Linked DNA regions of Anolis sagrei. The protein of the gene in region 2 interacts with the protein of the main gene of each other region in a pairwise test. Links are inferred from orthologs where the notes say so. Each region holds a gene or a part of one and is shown on either strand. Other genes may lie near its edges.

The links.
Region 1: the proteins of DHX30 (region 2) and YTHDF1 interact in a two-hybrid assay, tested with the Homo sapiens proteins (2 studies listed by BioGRID, with this or other methods). The link is inferred for Anolis sagrei from reciprocal best matches to the Homo sapiens genes DHX30 and YTHDF1.

Annotation. Positions count from the first base shown.
Region 1 is NC_090024.1:235,215,828-235,219,427, forward strand, and holds the start of YTHDF1 (YTH domain-containing family protein 1), read right to left. Parts: upstream 2,180-3,600; 5' UTR 1,652-2,179; coding exon 1,625-1,651; intron 1-1,624.
Region 2 is NC_090026.1:130,717,986-130,721,936, forward strand, and holds the start of DHX30 (ATP-dependent RNA helicase DHX30), read right to left. Parts: upstream 2,887-3,951; 5' UTR 2,870-2,886; coding exon 2,680-2,869; intron 1-2,679.

The DNA of each region.
Region 1 (3,600 bases), on a different chromosome or scaffold from region 2:
ATAATATCAACACAGAGTCCACACTGCCATATATTCCAGTTCAAAGCAGAAAATGTGGGATTTTTTTCAACTATGTAGAACAGGCATGGGAGGGGACAGGAGAACCATGTTTAAATATTTGAAGCCATGTCACATTGAGGAGAAAGAGACAGACTTGTTTTCTCCTGTGTCCTACTCTCACTGAGTAATGGATTGGAATTGTAGGAAAGGAGATGCCACCTAAAAATAAGGAAGGTTTTCCTGACAGTAAGGACCCTTCAACACTGCCATATAGAATCCACATCTGCTTTGAACTGGATTATATGGCAGTGTAGACTCATATAATCCAGTTCAAAGCAAATGTGGATTATCTGCTTTGATAATCTGGATTGTATGGCAGTGTAGAAGGGGCCTACGAATGTGCTTCCCAGGAGGTTGGTGGGGTCTCCTTCCCAGGAGGTTTTTAAGCAGAGGCTGGGTCAGGAGTGTTTGGGTGATATTTTTCCACACGGGGTTGGACTGGAGGGCCCTTGTGGCTGCTTCCATCTCTATAATCAAAGGCCTCTTCCACACAGCTATATACAATCCCACATTATCTGCTCTGAACTGGGTTATATGGTAGTGTGGACTCACATAACTGGGATCCATTCAACACAGCCATATAACCCAGAATATCAAGGCAGGTAATTCACAACATCTGCTTTGAACTGGGGTACCTGAGTCCACACTGCCATATATCCCAATTCAAAACAGATATGGTGGATTGGGTCCCTTGATATTCTGGATTATATGGTTGTGTGGAAGGGCCCTGAATCCACATTGCAATACATTTTAGGCCCCTTCCACACAGCTAAATAAAATCCATCATTATCTGCTTTGAACTGGATTATATAGCAGTGTGGATTCAGATAACCCAGTCCAAAGCAGATATTTTGGGTTATTCTGCCTTGATATTCTGGGTTATATGGCTGTGTGGAAGGGCCCTCATATAACCCAGGGCCCTTCCTGAAAGGCTCTATATCCCAGGATCTGATCCCAGGTTTTCTGCTTTAAACTGGATTATACGAGTCACACTGCCAGATAATCTGGGATAAACAGATAACATGGAATCAGATCCTGGGATACTGGGCCTGTCTGGAAGGCCACCAAGTTTAAAGCGGATATCGTGGGATTTTCTGCCTTGATATTCTGAGGCCTCTTCCACACAGCTGAATAAAATACCACATTTTTCTGCTTTGAACTGGATTATATGAGCCACCACTGCCAGATAATCTGGGATGAACAGATAACATGGGATCAGATCCTGGGATACTGGGCCTGTCTGGAAGGCCACCAAGTTTAAAGGAGATATCGTGGGATTTTCTGGGTTATATCACTGGGCCCTATAACCCAGAATATCAAGGCGGAAAATCCCACCATATCTGCTTTGATGGGATATCTGAGTCCACACTGGCATATATCCCAGTTCAAAGCAGAAAATGTGGGGTTTTATTCAGCTGTGTGGCAGGCCCAAGCAGCCCAACCTTATTTGGCCAGGCAGGAAAGAGAAGAAAAAATCAAAGCCCTGTTGGAAGGAGAAGACCACCCACCCCCAAATAATACACATTTCCAAGACTCCTCTCCCCTCCAAGCTCGACCCACTTACCTGGGGGTCAACGCTGGTGGCAGACATCTCTCATGCGCCTCGAAATATGGGGAGGGAGAGGGGGGAAGGGGGAGGAGAAGGAGGAGGAGGGGGCGAGGCCTTGCGTGGGAGTGGGGCGCCTCGTGGGTGGGCGAGCGGGCTTCCCCCCCTCCCGCCTTGGGCTTATCCCGGGAGGAGGGAGTGTGTGTGGCTGGTGGGGAGGAAGAGGGAGGTGGTGCATGCGCGTAGCCAGGAGGAGGGAAAAAGGGAGGAGGGAAGAGGAGGGAGAAGGCCGCGCGCAGGCGCAGTAGCTCCTTCGTGCGCTCGCGCTCTCTCTCCTCTCACATCGCTCCTCTTCCACACAGACAAGGCCTCAAGAAGAAGAAGCAACCGCTACTCCTCCTCCACCTCCTCCGCTTCTTCAATTCTTTCTCTCCTCGGCCTCTTCCCGGGTTTACATTCCTCTCTCGTCGTTTCCTAATCCCGCCTCCCCCCTTCTTCCCTGATCTCCAATGGCGGACAAGGAGCGGGAGGCGGTGACGTCAACGCCTCTGCCGCGCAAGGCATGCCGGGAGGGGGAAGAAACCTTCCACACACAGGAAAGGAAAAAAGGAGGGGAGTGTCGCCCGTTGCGCATGCGTAGTACCGAGCAGCGACGGCCGTTGGGCGCGAGGGCGAGCAGGAGCCCCGCCCCCTTTCCAGGAGGGCAGTTTTTTTTTTAAGTTCCCGCCCAAGTCAATGATTGACAGACTGGGAAGAGGCGGGGCTTGTTTATGAACAAGGCTATAAAAGGAGGGCAAAGGCGTGACTGGTTTCTCAGACTCAAGTTGGAATCATAGAATCAAAGAGTTGGAAGAGACCTCATGTGCCATCCTGCCAAGAAGCAGGAATGTTGCATTCAAATCACCCCTGACAGATGGCCATACAGCCTCTGTTTAAAAGTCTCCAAAGAAGGAGCCTCCACCACACTCCGGGGCAGAGAGTTCCACTGCTGAATGGCTCTCACAGGAAGTTCTTCCTCATGTTCAGTCCAACCCCCTGCCAAGAAGCAGGAATGTTGCATTCAAATCACCCCTGACAGATGGCCATACAGCCTCTGTTTAAAAGTCTCCAAAGAAGGAGCCTCCACCACACTCCGGGGCAGAGAGTTCCACTGCTGAATGGCTCTCACAGGAAGTTCTTCCTCATGTTCAGTCCAACCCCCTGCCAAGAAGCAGGAATGTTGCATTCAAATCACCCCTGACAGATGGCCATCCAGCCTCTCTTTAAAAGTCTCCAAAGAAGGAGCCTCCACCACACTCCAGGGCAGAGAGTTCCACTGCTGAATGGCTCTCACAGGAAGTTCTTCCTCATGTTCAGATGGAATCTCCTCTCTTGTCGTTTGAAGCCATTGTTCTGCGTCCTAGTCTCCAAGGAAGCAGAAAACAAGCTTGCTCCCTCCTCCCTGTGGCTTCCTCTCACATATTTATACATGGCTATCATATCTCCTCTCAGCCTCAGAGTGATTCTCTTTAGGAAAGGAAAGCAGCGGTGGTTCTCTTCAGAAACCGCCCTCCCCACTTCAAAGCGATTTACTATACTCAAGACAATACAAATTACAATCTAAAACCCACAACATACAAACATTAAAAACGATCTTAACAGATTAAAGAGCTGAGCCAAAACTAACAAAATGAATGGGTTGTTGTAGGTTTTTTTCGGGCTATATGGCCATGTTCTAGAGGCATTCTCTCCTGACATTTTGCCTGCATCTATGGCAAGCGTCCTAAGAGGTTGTGAGGTCTGTTGGAACTAGGAAAATTGGGTTTATATATCTGTGGAATGACTGGGGTGGGACAAAGAACTTAAAAGCCAACAATGTGATGTGGTGGCAAAAAAAGCCAATGAGATTTTGGCCTGCATCAATAGGAGCATAGTATCTAGATCCAGGGAAGTCATGCCCCCCATGCTCTGTTCCGCCTTGGTTAGACCACATCTGGAATATTGTGTCCAATTCT
Region 2 (3,951 bases):
ATTCCAAAGAGACAAAGCATGCAAATAAACACAACAAAGAGCATTCATATTGTACAATAGGCGGTCAGATGTTTAAATCAAAGTGCATGTTCACACGTGTTTTCCCCCAATATGCCTACTTCTAATATGGGTCAATGGACCATCTTATAAAACTGTTGTAGAATTGGTGCATCTGCGAATATGCAAGTGAAATAGTTCTTCCTTGACAATAGTTACCAGGTGCAGGAGTTAATGAGGGTAATGAGACCTTGAATGGGAAAAGAAGTTTCAGTAAGCAGAGATGGTCCGTGCAGCAATTAAGACGCTCAGCTAGATTTCAACAGAATATAATAATAATAATAATACTTTATTTGTACCCTGCTACCATCTCCCCAAGGGACATGGTGCGGCTTACATGAGGCCAAGCCCGCAGTACATTAATAAAACAAAGGCAATAACAAAATAATCAATACAAAACAGTAAAATAAATCTCAAAAGAAAAATAAACAATAAACAGTAAGAAGCACCAGTTAGCAACCTGGCTGCCGCCCATTGTACCAACTGAAATTTCTGGGCCATTTTCAAGAGCAGCCCCACGTAGAGTGCATTACAGTAATCCAATCTGGAGGTGACTAAGGCATGGACCACCCTGGCCAGATCTGACTTCACGAGGTACGGTCGCAGCTGGCACACGAGTCTGGCGGCACCGCCGACCCCTGAGCTTCAAGCGTAAGTGATGAATCCAGGACACCCAGACTGCAGACCTGTGACTTCAGGGGGAGTGCAAACCCGTCCAGCACAGGTTGCCACCCTATACCCCGATCCGGATTACGATCGACCAGGAGGACCTCTGTCTTGTCGGGAGTGATCCTCAGCTTGTTCCTCCTCATCCAGATAGCCACAGTGGCCAGGCACTCGTCCAGCACCCTAGGGGCTTCCTTGAAGTTAGGTGGAAAAGAGTAGTAGAGTTGCGCGTCATCTGCATAGAGATGGCACCCAAGTCCAAAACTCGGGATGACCTCTCCCAGCAGTGTAATTTCTCCAGTGGTGTAGGGCGCAGACACCCTGTGATAATGTGGCATGTCTCATTCACAGCTACATCCACTGTTTTAGTGTGGTGAGATGTGTTCCACACTGGGCATGCGTACTCAGCAGCAGAGTAGCACAGCGCAAAGGCAGATGTCTTCACTGTGTCTGGTTGTGATTCCCCGGTTGTGCCAGTCAGCTTTCGTATATTGTTTCTGCCACCCACTTTTTGGTTCAGGCAGTGCTTCTTGTAGGTTATTATTATTATTATTATTATTATTATTATTATCACATACAAATTAAACATTAAAAACAATATAAAACCACAACCGAAACAATAAAACCAACATCATTAGCGTCTCCTAGTTAAAAACATTGTCCGATTCCATTGTCAGGTGATTCCATTTCCTATGTCAGTTACTCTACATTTGTAAACGCTTGCTGAAACAACCATGTCTTAGTGGGTTGTTGTAGGTTTTTTCGGGCTGTATGGCTATATGGAAGAAACATTAACAACCTCAGATATGCAGATGACACCACTCTGATGGCCGAAAGCGAGGAGGAGCTGAGGAACCTTCTAATCAAGGTGAAAGAAGAAAGCGCAAAAGCTGGGTTGCAGCTAAACATAAAAAAAACCAAGATTATGGCAACAAGAATGATTGACAACTGGAAAATAGAGGGAGAAAATGTGGAGGCCGTGACAGACTTTGTATTTCTAGGTGCAAAAATTACTTTAGACGCAGACTGTAGCCGGGAAGACGCTTACTTCTTGGGAGGAGAGCAATGTCCAGTCTCGATAAACTAGTGAAGAGTAGAGACATCAGACTGGCAACAAAGATCCGCCTAGTCAAAATTCATGCCTTTTAGTTAAGTGAATGATTGACAACTGGGAAATAGAGGGAGAAAACGTGGAGGGCGTGACAGACTTTGTATTTCTAGGTGCAAAGATGAGTGCAGATGCAGACTGTGGCCGGGAAATCAGAAGACACTTCCTTCTTGGGAGGAGAGCAATGTCCAATCTCGATAAAACAGTCAAGAGTAGAGACATCAGACAGGCAACAAGGATCCTTTGCCTAGTCAAAGCCATGGTCTTCCCTGTAGTCACCTACGGATGTGAGAGCTGGACCTTAGGGAAGGCTGAGCGAAGGAAGAGAGATGCTTTTGAGCTGTGGTGCTGGAGGAAAGTGCTGAGAGTGCCTTGGACTGCGAGAAGATCCAACCAGTCCATCCTCCAGGAAGTAAAGCCCGGCTGCTCACTGGAGGGATGGATACTACAGACAAAGCGGAAGTCCTTAGGCCACATCATGAGGAGACAGCAAAGCCTAGAGAAGACAATGATGCTGGGGAAAGTGGAAGGCCAAAGGAAGAGGGGCCGACCAAGGGCAAGATGGATGGATGGCATCCTTGAAGTGACTGGACTGACCTTGAAGGAGCTGGGGGTGGTGACGGCCGACAGGGAGCTCTGGCGTGGGCTGGTCCATGAGGTCACGAAGAGTCGGAGACGACTGAACGAATGAACAACAATGGCTATATGGTCTATACAGCATGCCCTTGATCTCTCTCTCTCTCTCTCTACGTGAGGCTCAATTCCGGGGCTTATTTCCAAGCAAGAGACGGAGAGGCCCTCCCCCCCCCCCCATCATGCACAAGGACAACTACAGGCCTGCGGCTCACCCACGCGCCCCATCTCGCCCTCGCTCTCCCCGTCGCTCTCATCCGCCGCTGTTGCCCCGGAGGCCTGCTCGCAGAGGCCCCTCCGCCACAAAGAAGCGGCAGCGGCAGAAGCGCTTCCCCCACCGAGGCCGGGCCTGGGCCACAGCGCGCCCGCCACAAACGCCTGCAGCAGCCGGCTGGGCGCCGCCATCTTTGAGAAAGAGAGCCGGGGCGCGCACGGCGACGACGTCACGCCCGGCGCGCCTGCGCTTTTGTGGCATCTTCACCTCCGCCCCTGCCGCGCCATCTAGCGGGCGGCTGCCTGGCACTGCAGGGGAGCATCCAGACAAAAACACAGAGGGGAGGAAAAAAGGACCAGGAGGCAGTGATATAGTAATAGATCAGGCATGGGCAAACTTGGGCCCTCCCTCCAGGTGTTTTGGACTCCAACTCCCACCATTCCTAATTTATTTATTTATTTATTTATTTACTGCATTTGTAGACCGCCGTTCTCAGCCCTAGGGCGACTCACGGCGGTGTACAACATATAAAAAACAATTTACAAAAAAGCAATATCATAAACAACAATAACAACATCGGTATCAATAATACAATTACACTAAGTCATTCGCGACGTCTCATCGTAGAATCACAATCCAATCTCGTTATCCATATTCCGTTCCAATCATCATTGCTAATTTGTTGTAGCACTTAGTCAAACGCCTTCTCAAACAACCACGTCTTTAGTCTCTTGCGGAATGTCATAAGGGAGGGCGCCTGTCTGATATCTACAGGGAGGGTGTTCCACAGCCGGGGGGCCACCACCGAGAAGGCCCTCTCCCTCGTCCCCGCCAGGCGTGCCTGTGAGGCGGGCGGGATCGAGAGGAGGGCCTCCCCAGACGATCTCAAGGTCCTCGTGGGCTCGTAGGCCGAGATGCGGTCAGACAGGTATTTTGGGCCGGAACCGTTTAGGGCTTTGTAGGCCAACACCAGCACCTTGAATTGGGCCAGGGAGCAGATCGGCAGCCAGTGGAGCTGGGACAACAAGGGCGTTGTGTGCTCCCTGCGTCCCGCTCCTGTTAGTAATATGGCTGCCGCGCGCTGGACTAGCTGAAGCTTCCGGGCCGTCTTTAATTCCAAATCAATTCTGCCTGAGTGGGGATTTGGACCCTTGGCTGCATCTAGAAGCAGATGGCAAAAACAGAAGAATGGCCTGCCCCAGGGGAGTGTGCTTGCTCCATCCATGTTCAACACCTTAAGAATAGACAAGCATCCCGAGCTCTGAGGATCCCA